4 linked regions of the Oryctolagus cuniculus genome follow. The protein of the gene in region 4 interacts with the protein of the main gene of each other region in a pairwise test. Links are inferred from orthologs where the notes say so. Each region holds a gene or a part of one and is shown on either strand. Other genes may lie near its edges.

The links. The genes of interacting proteins can lie anywhere in the genome.
Region 1: the proteins of STK16 (region 4) and keratin-associated protein 13-1 interact in a two-hybrid assay, tested with the Homo sapiens proteins (2 studies listed by BioGRID). The two-hybrid records come from large-scale screens. The link is inferred for Oryctolagus cuniculus from reciprocal best matches to the Homo sapiens genes STK16 and KRTAP13-1.
Region 2: the proteins of STK16 (region 4) and TRIM42 interact in binary tests that used the Homo sapiens proteins (3 or more experiments, as listed by UniProt). The two-hybrid records come from large-scale screens. The link is inferred for Oryctolagus cuniculus from reciprocal best matches to the Homo sapiens genes STK16 and TRIM42.
Region 3: the proteins of STK16 (region 4) and SAXO1 interact in binary tests that used the Homo sapiens proteins (3 or more experiments, as listed by UniProt). The two-hybrid records come from large-scale screens. The link is inferred for Oryctolagus cuniculus from reciprocal best matches to the Homo sapiens genes STK16 and SAXO1.

The regions. Positions count from the first base shown.
Region 1 is NC_091435.1:14,994,605-14,997,364, reverse strand, and holds keratin-associated protein 13-1, read left to right. Parts: upstream 1-1,371; 5' UTR 1,372-1,400; coding exon 1,401-1,952; 3' UTR 1,953-2,253; downstream 2,254-2,760. UniProt on the Homo sapiens protein: In the hair cortex, hair keratin intermediate filaments are embedded in an interfilamentous matrix, consisting of hair keratin-associated proteins (KRTAP), which are essential for the formation of a rigid and resistant hair shaft through their extensive disulfide bond cross-linking with abundant cysteine residues of hair keratins.
Region 2 is NC_091435.1:141,105,253-141,109,388, forward strand, and holds the start of TRIM42 (tripartite motif-containing protein 42), read right to left. Parts: upstream 2,808-4,136; 5' UTR 2,619-2,807; coding exon 2,278-2,618; intron 1-2,277.
Region 3 is NC_091432.1:182,004,863-182,009,172, forward strand, and holds the start of SAXO1 (stabilizer of axonemal microtubules 1), read right to left. Parts: upstream 2,808-4,310; 5' UTR 2,512-2,807; coding exon 2,465-2,511; intron 1-2,464. UniProt on the Homo sapiens protein: May play a role in the regulation of cilium length. Stabilizes microtubules at low temperature.
Region 4 is NC_091434.1:20,221,872-20,225,814, forward strand, and holds the start of STK16 (serine/threonine-protein kinase 16), read right to left. Parts: upstream 2,806-3,943; 5' UTR 2,670-2,805; exon of another isoform or gene 2,407-2,669; intron 2,312-2,406; 5' UTR 2,208-2,311; coding exon 2,122-2,207; intron 1,587-2,121; coding exon 1,367-1,586; intron 1,112-1,366; coding exon 978-1,111; intron 821-977; coding exon 700-820; intron 577-699; coding exon 481-576; intron 123-480; coding exon 1-122. UniProt on the Homo sapiens protein: Membrane-associated protein kinase that phosphorylates on serine and threonine residues. In vitro substrates include DRG1, ENO1 and EIF4EBP1. Also autophosphorylates. May be involved in secretory vesicle trafficking or intracellular signaling.

The DNA.
Region 1 (2,760 bases), on a different chromosome or scaffold from region 4:
CTGTCAATATATATATATATATATATATATGGAGGAAAAATTGGAAGATGAGATGTCCTTGGAAATTTTCAGATATCTTTCAAAATTTTGATGTGAGAGTTTATAGATGTTTATAGGGAGGGTAACCATAGGACATTTTACAAAATAAATGCCAAGAATTAGATCCATTTTGAAAAAAATATTCATTAATTTTCTGTTGCTATAACCAACTGTGTGAAGTAACTGATTTGTGAAGAAAATAGGTTTATTTAACTCACAGTTCTGGAAACCCAGGAGCATGGTACCAGCTTCCGCTTGATTCTGGTAACTGTCTCATGGCATCATGCAGAGTGTGTGTGAGTGACCACACGAGGGGCAGAGAATCAGAGACGGGAAAGGAGCCAGTCTTGCTCTTTTTATAACACTTTACTTTCATGAGAACTAATCAGGGTCCTACAAGAACTTCCAAAGACAGCACCCGCAATGATCTTCCACTAGCACACCCTTATCAACGTTTCCTCCACCTCCCAACTGCTGCACTGGAGATGGAGCTTCCAGCGCAAGAACCCCTGGGGAGCATTCTCAAACCATATTAAACCAGAGAAAACAGTTTTGAAGACTTAAATGAGGTTGGACCATCCATCCCCAGGGTTTGGGCTCAGGAAAATCCTGCCTTTCCCTCTGCTATTGCTCCTTGTTTCCTATCTCATCTAAATCACATCTACTACATTTTTTCCCTATGCTTACATCCATATCATTCTCTTTTTTGTTTTCACATCATTTTTCTGAATAGTAAATTTGTTCTATATGTTTGTGCAAGATGCTGTTCATTCCTGGTCATCTCTCAATTCCTTTGCCTTGGTTTTATGTGGCATATCTAGACTAAACATAGTAAACACTGATGATAAGTAACAGATGGAAATTATATTGGAGGATTTGAAACAACGCTTTGATGGTGAGGGAGTCTTTAAAAGGTTCCTTATTAAGACCAGATTTCTTCCTCTCAGTCAAGGACCAAGAGGGAGATGGCTGCTTTACAGTCCTCACCCTAGGAAGAAAGAATTCTCCAGCCCAAACAGGAGCAGATTTACATGTCATAGCCTGGGAAAAAACAGGGGCTTTCCTGGCTGTGATGGAGTAGACACTAATTACATACAGTCATAGCATTTATAGCATAAGTGTATTTCACTGACACAGAGCTGTAAAAACAAAAGGAGTTCACCCATAAATACAACATGAAGGGTGTTAGTTTGCTGCAATTACAAAGAAGTTTTACTGAGTGACGTATATGCAAATGAGGGAGTCTAACTATGGAAAAGATGACATTGTAAGTAAAGGGCCACACCCATTGCTGAGAGCATATAAATGTCCCAGTGACAAGTGACATCCAAACTCAGAACCTTCTCCCACCTCCAGTCACCATGCCCTACAACTGCTGCTCTGGAAACTCCTTCTCTCAGTCCTTTGGGGGCTACCTGCGCTACCCAAGGTCTTCCTGTGGCTCTTCCTACCCAAACAACTCGTTCTACAGTGCAGGACTCCAATGTCCCAGCACATGTCAGCCGGGCTCCTCTTTGTACAGTGGCTGTCAGGAGCCTGGCTGTGAGCCCACCAGCTGCCAGACTTCCTATGTGGTGTCCAGCCCCTGCCAGACGTCCTGCTACCGCCGGAGGACCTCCACACTCTGCAATCCCTGCAGGACAATTTACACGGGGTCTCAGGGCTTTGGATCCAGCAGCTGCAACTCCCTGGGCTGTGGATCTAGAAGCTCCTATTCCCTGAGCTGTGGACCAAGGAGCTGCCACTCCTCAGGCTGCGGATCCAGTGGTTTCAGACCCCTGGGTTATAGAGTCCATGGCTTTCCTTCACTGGGTTATGGATCTGGGTTCTGCCGCCCATCCTGCTCAGCCTCTAGGACCTGCCAGTCTTCTTGTTTCCAGCCAACCTGTTGGTCTGGATCCGGCGTCTGTTGATCATCTTATTAAGTTTCTAACGCCATTGACCAATGTCTTTAATGCCTCTATTAATAATTGTTATAGTCTTCCTATTTAGCTTCCTATTTTCTGATTATCAGTTTCTCACCCTGTCTCTGGCATCAAATCCTGGCTGACAGACTTCATCTGAAAATCTGTAATTTGTGTACTAACTCAAAATAAAGTCTAAAGTCTTCATTGGAGATAAAATTTATGTTATAGGATAACTACTCATTATTGTTTGAAAAAACAAATTTTTACTCAATAAATGCATTGATTCTGATTTAAATCTATATTAGATTTGTTTCATTATTTATTTGGTTCTAAAATATTAAAGAAATCATTATGAAATTATCAATGTATCTATACAGATTGGTTTTGAAAATCAATGAGGTGAGGGGCCAGCACTGTGGCATAGTGGGTAAAGCTGCCACCTGCAGGGCAGGCATCCCATATGGACGCCGGTTTGAGTCCCAGTTGCTCCACTTCCGATCCAGCTCTCTGCTATGGCCTGGGAAAGCTGGAGAAGATGGCCCAAATCCTTGGGCCCCTGCTCCCATGTGGGAGAGCTGGAAGAATCTCCTGGCTCCTGGCTTAGGATCGGCTCAGCTCCAACCATTGTGGCCATTTGGGGAGTGAACCAGCAGAGGAAGACCTATCTCTCTCTTCCTCTGCCTCTCTGTAACTCTGCCTTTCAAATAAATAAAGAAATCTTTAAAAAAAAATCAATGAGGTGAGTAAACTGACCAAACTTTTGGAGGCCTCAGATATTTTTATTACTCAAACTACAGGTAGGGGTTGACGTTGT
Region 2 (4,136 bases), on a different chromosome or scaffold from region 4:
GGAGCATGGCCCTGTCTCCATCCCCACTCCCTTGGGTGGGGTCCTGGGCCTCAGAGTCCAGGCTCTCAGAGGGGCCTCCTGGGCACACAGGGATGGAGTCACCCTCGGGTGCCTGGAAGGCCCACCTCTCAGGGTTTGGATGCTGGGCTGTAGCCCACCAGCCTTGATGTTCTCAGCTGGTTCCACTGTGCCATCCTAGCCTCCTGCCTGGAGTCATCAAGAGTGGTAAAGGATAACACATGGAGGCTGGATGGACTTCTTGAGTTTGATTTAAAAAAAATGGGACTCTGAGAACCAGGGCGTACTATGACAGGTGTCAGCCAAAGAAATCAGGGAGATGGAGGGAGGTGGGGGGGAAGGGAGAGAGAATGAGCACAGGGTTCAGAGACAGGTGTCAATGGCCTAGGGAGCTGTGGCAGCGGTAGGAATGGAGGTGAGGAAATGAGTATGGCTGAGCGGGACAGGCGAGAGCAGAGAGAGGTGAGTGGCTGTAACTGCTCAGCAGGAGGCGGTGATGAGCAGCAGGGAGGCAGGGCTTCAGGACCCAGGGGAGGGGCCAGGGAGAAGACAGGCACAATGCCTCCTGAAGCTGTCAAGTGCATCCCTGCCCAGCCTGCAGAAGCCTCAGGTGTGGACAAGGTGTTCAGTAGCCAGGGATCCATGCCCAGCTGCCAGGCCCAGCAGCCTGGTCTTCCTGCTAAACTATCTGCCTCTGGTCCTTTCTCCTCACTCTCCCCAGTTCAGGCCTGGTCCCCTTGCCCCTGGATTCTCACTGTCTCTCCTGGCAAGTCTCCTAGCTTCCCTTCCTGCTCCCGCAGGCCATTCTGCACATTGGAATCACCTGAACAGGATGGGCCTTATACAATTCTGATGCCCAGGTGGTACCCCAGGCCAATAACATTCAGAGTTTTGGGGAGGCAGTGGACCAGGCTTAGGTATTTTTAAAGATCCCTGCATGATTGCAAATGCATAGAAATTTGGGAACCACTGATGCCAAAGCCACTTTCCCAAAGCAGCAGTTTCATCCCTCCTGGAATGGGCTCTGTGGCTCTCCGTGGCTGGTGCTTGGAGAACGGGCGTGTCCAGAGAGAGGGGTGTGGCCACTGCTTTCCACACCTTGGAACCTCTGGACTTGCCACTAGAGTCCCTGGATTCCCGCAAGCACCAGAGAGGGCCGTGCACGGAAACTCATGTTTCCTACGCCCCTACCAAGCACCTAATCTCAAGATGGATCTTACATTCTTGCCCTGAGTCCACCAAACCTTTGTTGGTAGAATTGCTGATGCAGCCTTGAAGGCCTTCAGACTTGCTTCCTATTGTTCAGCCTCTCCTAGTCCACTCATCTCACAGTGCTGAGTAAGTCTGTCCTTACCAGGCTCCTCTCACAGGGACAGAAGAAGACTGACTCGGTAGAGTAGGAAGAGGTTATACAGTGCTTAGTGGGGATGACTAATGCCCCCAGTGAGCACCTGGAGGCCCAAAGCACCATGACTTCTCCATGGGAAAGTCGAGGAGGCCAACGGGAGTTCAGATGTGTCTGGGGCACTCAGGTGAATACAGGTCATCAGGCTCAAAACTGGTCCTTGGAAATTCTTACTTTTCCAAGAAACATTGCATATATCAAGAGTTCACAGTAGCAGGGGGAAGAGCGATTTATATTTTTATGTCACCTATCAGGTTACAAAGCACATGCAAAGAGCCCTCAACAAATTCATGGAAAATGCGGATCATGAACAACTTTGCACCCAAATCAACTTATGTCTGAACTCTACTGTCCATGAATTTCACATCAGTCCTCACAGGGCCTCTCCATTTTGCAACACAACACTTGAAATTTAAAATAATGGCTTCTGGGTTCAAATCCTGACTCTGCATCATGCTAGCTGTGTCAACCCAGGTGGCTTCACCTCTCAAAGGCTCTGTTGCTGGGTCCAGTGGGCTCAGGGAGAGGAGGGTTCCCCAGGGTCTCCCATGCAGTGCCTGGCAAGTTGCTTAAGCACTGAGTATTGGCTCTGAGTACTTTGCACCCATGAGAGAGTTGTGGTTCAGAAGAGTGCTGTAAGCATTCACACCTTATGGATTTTCAATTTGGAAGTTAGAGTCTATACTGGTTAGTATACTAGGATATACTTAATTGCTACATGGTTAGTATATGAGGATATACTCAATTGCTACAAAATTCCTGGCTTCCTTTTCCCACAGAGAGAAATGAACCCAGGGGTTACCAGCCCACCCTGTGGGCCCCCAGCTGGCACTGAGTTCCCAGTTTTCACTTACGAGGTGCGGATGCTCTTGAGACGGCCCTTGCGGAAGGTGATGGTGGCATTGCGACAGCAGCGGCTCTCATAGTAGTAGCACTTGAGATTGCTGCTGGTCGTGCAGCAGCATTTGCAGTTGGGATCATTGGCCCAGGAGCAGCAGCACCAGTGGCAGTTGGGGTTATCGGAGCAGGTGCAGTGGCAGAACTGGCAGTTCCGCTCATCCTTGTATGGGCAGGGGAAGCAGGTGCAGTTCCTCTCCGAGGTGAAGATGAACTTGCAGCACAGACAGGAGCATAGCTGAGGACAACATCTTTGCCATGTACAACATGGCGAGCAAACGCACATAGCAGTCTCCATGGCCCCTACATGATTACCACGTCCCCACCGTGGCTCTTGGTGTCTCCTCTACCAGAATCCTGCTGCCAGTTCTCAGTGGAGGTGTCCCTCCTCCCCCAACCCAGTGAGGCCGTCAGCCTGAGAGTTGCAAGAAGTTGGCTGTTAGGAGGCTCTCACCAGTGGTGTCCCTGCCAGGAAGCTCATGGGTTAGCACGTGCATGAGGCCATTTGCTGATGTCACAATCACTGGGTCCTTGCAGTGTCTCACCACGCTGTGGAGCTGGCAGGTGAAGCCTGGAGTGGTTAGCAGGTGAGTTGATGGATACTCCCCTCATGCCTCCGTCGGACCAGCTCCAGGGGAGCTGTCCTTGGTCCCCTTCCTGGTTGTGGGGTAGATTTCAGAAGCTATTTCTTCTTGCTTGGTGTTTGCCCGTAGTTTGGGCAAGCTGATTTCAGGGAATGTCTTCCCAGACTGAGAAGCCTGGCATGACTAATTGGAAAAGTAGATGGACATAATTTTCCTCTCCTGGGTTTTTCCTGCATGATAGAACTCCTTACAGTGTTTACAAATAGCAACAAGGAGGACAGCACGGAAGGAGGTGTCACCATTTGTGGAAAGAACTAAAGGAGCAGAAGACACCGCTTCCTTCAGGAGCTTCTTTTGAAAGTCATTGCTCTTGCCCATCACTGCATAATGACTGGTCTGTTTCATGAGGCTTCGCAGAAACCTCCGAATGTTTTTTGCCAATTCTGCAGCTTCAAGGGGTTTGACCAAGTCTTAGGCTTTACTTCCTTTCCCCCACCCTACTATCAGTCCTCTAGGTCCTGTTAATCAAGAAGTTATAATGCTACATGAGCTTTATACTTTTGTGCTAGCAGTGTGCTCCAGATACCTGGAAACAAGACCCTAATGGGGTGAATTTCGTTTCCACTTGATGCAGCTTGCAAAGGTTAAAAGAGCAAAGTGTTCATGACCACGCCGCATGACGGTATGAAGGCTGCAGTATTACTTTTCCAAAAAGAACTGAAGGCTGAGTTTGGCTGCTCGAGCCGATTGCATAATCCATGATCTCTCCCCATGATGATCGTCTTCATAATAGGAAAGAACGTTTACTGAGTGCTAATGGTGCCAGCCACACACCGATTTTAAGTTTCTAGAAATGAGAGGGCTGGATCATAGGGTATGTGCTTTATCTTTTTTGATAGATGCCACTAAATTGCCTACTCAAATAAATGTGCCAGTTCATACTGACACCAGTAATGGATGAGAGACATCTTTCCCACACATTTGCTCAAACTCAATTTTATCTGCCTTTCTCCCTAGGCTCCAGGCCCAGAGGTCCAAATGCCATTCTTGGGTTCATGGTATATTTTCATTACTGGTCTCTGTGAAGTCCCCTCTTTTTAGAAATTGTTATTGACATTACAATTCACTTACCATTAAATTTACCATGAACAATTGAATAGTTTTCAGTATAATCATAAAACTGTGCAGCTGTCACCAAGACCTAATTCCAAAACATTTTCATCACCCCAAAA
Region 3 (4,310 bases), on a different chromosome or scaffold from region 4:
AAGGGTCTCCACAAATCACCAGTTGTAAAAAATGAGGGGGAGGGGGGCTGGCGCTGTGGCGCAGTAGGTTAATCCTCCACCTGTGGAGCTGGCATCCCATAGGGCGCTGGTTCTAGTCCTGGCTGCTCTTCTTCCTATCCAGCTCTCTGCTATGGCCTGAAAAAGCAATGAAGGATGTCCCAAGTCCTTGGGCCCCTGCACTCACTTGGGAGACCCAGAAGCAGCTCCTGGCTCCTGGCTTTGGATCGGCGCAGCTCTGGCCTTTGTGGCCAATTGGGGAGTGAACCAGCAGAAGGAAGGCCTTTCTCTGTCTCTCCCTCTCACTATCTATAACTACCTCTCACAAAATCTTTTAAAAAGGGGGAGGGGGGCAGGTATTTGGCCTAGTGCTTTGCATGTCAGTTAAGAAAACATGTCCCAGGCACTGTGGTGTAGCAGGTAAAGCCGCTGCCTCCAACTCTTCCATCCCATGTGGGCATTGGCTCAAGTCCCAGCTGCTCCACTTCTAATCCAGCTCCCTGCTAATGGCCTAGGAAAAGCAGAAGATGGCCCAAGATCCCAGCCCCTGCTACCCACTTGGGAAAAGCTCCGGCTCCTACCTGGTCCAGCCCTGGCCATTGTGGCCATCTGGGGATGAAAGAATCAGTCTCTCCCTCTCTTTCCCCCTTTGTGTAGCTCTTTCAAATTAATAAAAAAATTTTAAAAAAGTATTCCATATCAGAATGCCTGGATTTGATATTCATCTCTGGCTCCCAACTCCAGCTCCTTGAAATTCAGATCCCAGCAGCAGCAATGATGATTCAAGTACTTGAGTCCCTGCCAACCACGTGGGAGACCAGACTCATCTGGTTACTGATACTTGAAATAAGCTAGTACAATTATAACAAGTTATGATTGTATTTCCTTTTAATTCATCGACATCGACATGAAATTGCTACATGTGGTTACTCTACTAGATAGCACAACTCCAAGTCTTGTATCTCTAATCCATTGTTGGCATGTTACTAACCTTAACAAGCAAAAAACATTCGTTCAAAAAGATATTTTGATAGCTATATGGAGAGAAATGTTTCAGTATTAAAAACACACAGTTGGAAATCATGGTTTCTGCTTTCCCAGAGTACACAGTCCATGGGAGCTGTGAAGCAGGCAGGCACAATCAGAAACAAGTAACACAGAGCAGGGTCTCTTTGACAGGGCCCTACAGAGCTGGGCTAATGGGAACCTTGCAATAGAAACAGGGCCTTAAAGGTCGGGCAGCAGGAAGAGGGACGTAGGCAATTGGGAGAAAGGAAGGGCGATGGTAAGGAACAGGGAGGGCCAATCAGAAGACCCAAAGCCAGCTGGAAGAGTGGTTCCAAGCAAAGAAATCACAGTGGGTAAAGCTAGCAAGGTGTTAGGGGCAGTTTCCAAACCTAACAAAAAAGAGCCAGGCAAAGAACCATTCTAAGAAAGATCGCGAAGAGGAAAGGACCAGACTCTGGAAACAGTTAAATGATGGTTCACATGCGAGGGGCAGCTAGTGGGAGACGGCTCCAAGCGGAGGGTCACGAGGCAGCCAGACGCATCAACAAGCACGGAGACTGAAATCGAAGAACAGAAAAGGCTGGGATGTGAGGTCCAAACCGGAGACTCCCGATTGAAACCAAGAGGGGGAGAAGGAAAGGAGAACACACTCCAGGACAGTCTCCACGTCTGAGAGAATTTTTGCAGGAACAGAAGGGAATAGAGGCAGAGAAGGGGCATCCAGGTAAGTCAGGCGCCTGCCGGGGGCAAGAGGAGATGTCTCACTGTGTACCCTCTTCATGAGCTTTCCTGCCATCCCATCTGTGCAAAGATGGAAGCACTGTCTTACACATTTCTATCCCAAACACTGTGCCTGGGCCCCTGCTGCCCACGTGGGAGAACCAGGTTAAACTCCTGACTTTGGCCTGGCTCAGCCCAGGTGGTTGTCGTCATTTGGGGAATGAATCAGCAGATGCAAGATCTCGGTCTCTGGCTCTCCTTGTCTCTGTAATTCTAACCTTCAAATAAGTTAATAAAGTAAAAGTCACTTTAAAATTTTTTTAAAGAAATTATCTTCCCAACCTGGGTCCTTAAAGAAGCACCCTAGCACAAAAGAAGCAAAGCTGGCCTGTGTTTTCGGTCCATGACACTCTCTGGGCTGCAAGGAAGAGATACAAGCTGTGCCAGGGCTGGGCCCACTTTCAACCTTCCTGCAGCTCTGACACAAGGAAAGCCCTGGGAACAGCTCCATTCACCTGCTTCAATTCAAGCCCAGCACATGAAGTGCTGGCTGCAGGCGCTGCAAGCTGACAACAGCGACAGGTGGGTGAGTCCACCTGCGCTCCTAGCTAAGCCGCAGGCTGAGGCCCCAGCCCCGCTTTGTGGGAAACGCCCTGCCTGGCTCCGGAGTCGGAAAAGCCAGGCTTCCCCAGCCTTGCGCTGGGCGCAGCCTCCTTACCCGCAAGAGCACAGGTCGCAGATGCACTTCCTCTTCACAGGGGCCATCCTGAGGCCCTGATGTCCCCTCAGAGCACCCCCAGCGGCAGCTGCTTGTAGACCCCAACAGCCCAGGAGGGAGCACGCTAAATCTCAAGGGCCTTGGCAGAGATTCTGAACATTCACACGAAAGAAAACCAAGTGGCCCTCTTGTAAAGTCTTGTCCTCCGTTCCCTTCCCGGAGCTGGCCTTGCGCGCCGAGGGAGCAGCACGGAGCCTGGGGGGGCCTCTCCCTGCACACCGCCCGGTCCCACTAGCCTGGTGCGGCCTCCCCAGCCCCTGGAAGCCCCAGGGCCCGGGATCACGGGTCCTCTATGACATCACCAAAGCCAGGAGGAGCACGCCTTGAGATGGTGGTGACATCACAAACACCGCTTGTGAGGTCGGGAAGCTCCCGGCACCTCCCTTGGGGGGCCCAGGACACAGTCTCCCCAGCGGACTTTGGGGAAAGCTGGAGAAACATTGGAGGGAAAGCTGCTGGGTGCTGCCATGCGCAAACGCCACGGTCAATTGTCCTAAGAGGCCGAAAACTCTCCTGCGGCGTGTGGAGTGGCGTTTTCTACTTCTAGGATCCACGGGTGCCCCGCCGATGGAAGTGCACCCCTTGACCTCCAGAAGGCCGAGCCCTGAGTACCGTTTCCAGATCTTCCTGTGGAAACCCACTCTCTAGCCTCAGGGGTCAAAGCCGCCGTTCCCCACAGTTCTGAGCGCTGGAGGACGAGGCCCTTTATGAGCGCAGGCTTTCACGGCTCACGTGGGTGCTCAATCCCTTCTCCAGGTGTAGGTAATGATGCCTTGGAGCAGCGCATCTGAGAGTTTAGTGGGCATCAGAACCACCCGGCTTGATTAAAAACCAGCTGCTGGGGGCTCCGCGCCGGGCAGGTCTGGAGTGGGCTGAGAATGGGCATTCCTTACAAGTCCTCTTGCTGATGCTGCTTGCCAGGGACCACACTCAAGAACCATGGTTCTAGAGATTCTTTGGCCCTCTCCCAGCAGCCTTCCCCCAACGACAGTGTTGCTTCCACTTGCCTGGCCCTGAGAACCATGGGAAGGAAGGAAACACCGCTTAGAAAGCAAGTTTGACACTTTTTCCCTCCAGGATGTAAGATACTTTTACAGCTCTGTTGTTAACACTTTTGGCTGTCTTCTTGCTTCAGTTAGGAATGCTTTGATGGTCAATTCTTCCCTGTTGATAGATACGTGATTTCCTAACATGAGATTTTATAAAAGAGGCTTTTTTAGGATGGCTTAAAGGACGGTATGTGAGCCCTAATTTGAGAATTACCCAACCTTGCTCCTGCTAGTGTGAGTCAGGGAGATCCTGTGGCCTGCTCTCGGCAGCTCTCCGTGGCCTGAAGGAGAAAATGCGCTTTTCCTTAAGGCAAGTGAATCGTGCCTTTTCCACGGCTCGGACCAGACCCTTTGTTCTTCACAGTACAAGGCCTGCTTGTTGGACATTCTGGGGGAATGGCTGTGATACTTGGTATTCAGTTGGCTGCATTACTGATGTGTGTGATTTTTAAACACTTGAAATATCAGACAATGTTGCATGTTTTAGAAACACATTTCATCCCTTCAGCTACCCAGGACCAGCGCTATTTAAGACATTAGTTACAAAATAAAGCTACCGACTATGTACCTATTCAGACATCAAAATGTAATGTTTCTCAGTGTTGTGGAAGAGGGAAGATTATGCTGGAGAAGGTGAAACTGTGCTGATTGGAAAGCTGACAAGGATGGAGAAAGAATCGAAGAGAGTGAATTACATATGAACTGTGCTAATGGTAACTAGATTTTTTTAACTGTAG
Region 4 (3,943 bases):
CTGGGGCTCTGCGGGATGCTGAGTTGGTTCTGCACAGCCAGGGCCACGCTGTCACCCTTCTGGAACACCATGTCATAAGGGCCTTCCCCAAACATCATGGCATAGAGCACACAGCCTAGGGACTGAACGTAACTTGGTTAGTCCCTGAAAGATCAAAGGGGATGGCATCTTTTCCCTTTCTTTTGAGGGGAAAGGAGACCACACAAGCCAAACAGAATAGGCCAACCTGAGCCACACAGAGCTCCCAGGGCCCAGAGAAACCCCCAGAGAGCTGGGCACCTCTGCAGCCCTCACTTCATGGGAGGGAGACCACTTCCTTCAGTATCAGTGACAGTTTGCAGGAAGGAAGTTGAGAGAGATGGCAACAAGCTGCGGTTCCCGGGGCCCCTTGCAACAGAAACCAAAGACCTACTTCTCTGCCTGACAGCACCTCCGAGCCACGCCCCTCCCCACGCAGATTCCCGCCCACATGCTCCTCACCCAGACATCAGTCCGCTCGTCAATAACACAGTGACTCTGCACGGAGAAGAGCTCCGGGGCCCGGTAGGAGATGGTGCACCGCTGGGCTGCCCAGTCCTAGAACGGTGGCCTCAGAGCTCAAAAGCAGGGCACAGGCCAGGGTCAAGTGACCGAACTGGGGCACGTAACAGAAGGGGTCAGGGTGCGGAACAGGTGGGCAAAGGAACCCGAGGCTCTTACTTGCAGGGTCAGGGCCTGGCGGGAGCCCTCCACATGGATGCATGCTTGATTCATGGAACCCAAATCCATTAACACTGGCTGTCCCTCATCGCCAAGCAAGATGTTGGTGGGTTTCAGGTCCCTGCAGAGAAATAGAAAGGACATGTAAGCTGGAATCCTGGGGGGGGGGGGGCGGGGGGCTGATCACAGGGAGAAGAGCAGAGCCCAGAGCCCTCCCCTTTCTCTTGGTGAGGTTCTTGCTCCTGGGCCCCCTGAGCACACAGGGCCCTCCCACTGACCTGTGGGCATAGCCCTTGGCATGAATGGCCTCCAGGCCTCTGCAGATGCCCAGCAGCAGCCGCAGGATTTCATCCTCAGTCAGGAAGTTGCCCTTGTCCTTGAGCCTTTCTATCTCAGCCCACAGCGTCCCTCTCTGCAACAAGAGTTTCCCCACAGCTGGAGACGGTGCCGGAGCCTCTGGTCTCTGGGCCTGATCGTGTGCCTACGTCAATGCCCATCTGCCCTCCTCCGATCACCTAGACCTCAAACCCCCCACTCCCACATGGGCTCCTCTAAAGCTCAAGTCTGAAGCGGCCAGGACCCCCGCTGGCCGGCTCGTTTGACTGCTCACACAGCCCCTGGCGGGTGGCTCTGTGGCAACCCTCTCCACGCCAGGAGCATTTCTGACCTTAAAGAAGGGCAGCAGCAGCCAGGCCTCGTGCTTAGCATCTCGCTCCCTCAGGCAGTAAGCGACGAGGCGCAGGATGTTGGGGTGATGGAAGAGGCGATGCATGTCTGCTTCCCGCTGCGCGTCCTCTCGGTCCTGCTGCTCATGACACAGGATTCGCTTCAGGGCGTAGAAGTGTCCATCATGTAACCCCTCCACTAGGTCCACATAGCTGAACCCACTGTGGGCCAAAGGGGTCAGTGAAGGGCCACGGTCATCTCCCACAGGGCTTGGATTCAGAGGACTTTTCTGGGAGACGGCAGTGTCTCTCCCATTCAGTAAAAACCCTCCCAAGATGCGGCTCTAAGAGAAGGCTGAAGGTTGTTACACCTTGAGCTCCCCCAAAGCAGGCACAGGGAGACCGGGGAGGTGGACGTGGGCATAACACAGCGCTGTGCACCTGTATCAGGTGCTTATGAACCATGCACTGTGTGGGGCGGTCTAAACCCATGACCTCATTTACTCCTCACAACGCCATCAGTGAGGCGGGATAAGCATCTCCATTTAGTGGAGGAAGAAATCAATGGCTTATCAAGGACAAGCGGATGTGGCTCTAGGAGGCGGGGCTCCAGAACCCACTCTCTGGACTACCAGGCACCTAGATGCCATCAGGTGACCCAGAGGTTAGGGATAAAACCCTTCTGCCTCTGTCCCGTGCAGAACGCCGGTCCTCCACGACCATAACCCTGGGGATTAGGTGATTTCCAAACACTCACCCCTCCCCCAGTTTCTGGATGAAGAGGTAACGCTTATTGTCAATGATGACCGTTCCCCGAGAGCAGACACAAAGCGCGTGGCCCATAATGTCTCAAACATCCTCCTCAAGGACGGGCTGCAGCTGCCGGGGGACTGGTCCAGGGTGAGTGGGCTCTTCCGGGCGAGGCGCCGCGGGCCCAGTGGCTCATGCTGGAAGGAAAACAAACGGCAGAGTCGCGGGTCCGGCACAATCCTCACGACCCCTGAAGGACCAGCGCGGAGAGCTTAGGCTCAGGTCTCGGAACCTGGATCTCCGTGTAGGGAAAAAGGGTCCTGACAACGCCAGCTCCAAAAAGGCCGCAGTCAGGTGCCTTAAAGCCCCAGGCCACTTCCTCCAACCCCAGTCCACCTTTGGGCGGGCCCTTTCCCACGCCCGTCGGTCCCCAAAGGAGGGCGGGCATAGAGTAGTTCCCGAGGAGGTGCGAGCCTCCGGCCCACCTCTTGCAGAACCCACCCCCAACCTCAGAGCGCGGAGCCCGGGATCGATCAGCTCGGACGTCCCACTGACCTGGCCCGGGAGGGAACTCAGCCAGAAGCCGGAAGCGGCGTCTACGTCATCAGTCCGCGCCGGCGTAACGGCCCGCGGTATCCTAGCAACCGCTGGGCATCCCGACGATGTGGGGGCGCGGAACCGAGAGGCCGGGGGCGGGCTAGGCCTGCAGGTGCACGGGTCGCGGGACCCGGGTGAAGGTTCCCTACCTGGCCTTCAGTAGGGGTCAAGACGCAGGCGTCTGCGCCAAGGGGGGAGCAAAGCCGGGCTCGGCCCGAGGCCCCCAGGACCTCTATCTCCCAATGTCCGAGGTAGGAGGCCTCATACCTCCCGTGCGCTGGGTCCAGAATGCGCCCAACTATGGCCCATCCCTGAGGGCGGCCCCGGGAGGGGCCGGTGACCTTCCAAGCCCTGCTCACGAACCTCACTGCCAGTTTCTAGACAGGGGGTCTTAGTAACCTACCTGCTGTGTGACCTCGACCAATTAGCCTGTTGGATCCTAGTTTTCTGTAGCTGTAAAAATACATGTAATAGTGCCTAATATTTAGTGCATGAACTGCGAGGCTAATTCAAATCCCAGCTAGACTAAACTAGTTGTGGGAGCTCAGGCAGTCTACCTGACATGTCTGTCCTTTAGTTTGTTCATCTGTAAAGTGGGAACGGTAACAGTGTTACATAACCCTCAGTAAGTGTCTCGCAACAGGAATGATAGTTACTACTACTCCGCTCCTCACATCCCAGGCTTGGGACTATGAGGGCAGGAGGGTTGGAAATCCCCAAATTCAGCCTTGGCATCAAGCAGTTGTCACTGACATCTCTTGCCTAAATGGGCAAGGATAAGCTGGAGAGGGCGCACACTTCCAGAGAGGATGGGATGGCCAGGATGGGCTCTCCAGGAGAAGGGTTCAACTTGTGACCTGGTTTCCCCCTGCCATAGCTCTGATCACCATGAAGATTTTCCTATGGTTTCCCTTGGTACTGACCCTGTTTTCCTGCGTGTTCTGACATTCTGTCATGTAGATTTAACCTGCTCTGTGTCAGGCCCTGTGCTTGAAGCTGGGGGTCCCAGATGGACAAAGCACTCCTCACCTTCAGGGAGCTCAGTCTCAGTAGCGCAGTGCTTCTTGTGAGTGTCCCTGGGAATCTTGCTAAAATACAAATTCTGATGCTATAGGTTTGAGGTAGGACCTGAGATTCCGCGTGTCTAACGGGCTCTCTGGTGACGCTGATGGAGCTGGTTCGCGGCTGCGCTTTGAGTAGCCAGATGTAGAGGACTGTTATACATTAGTAGA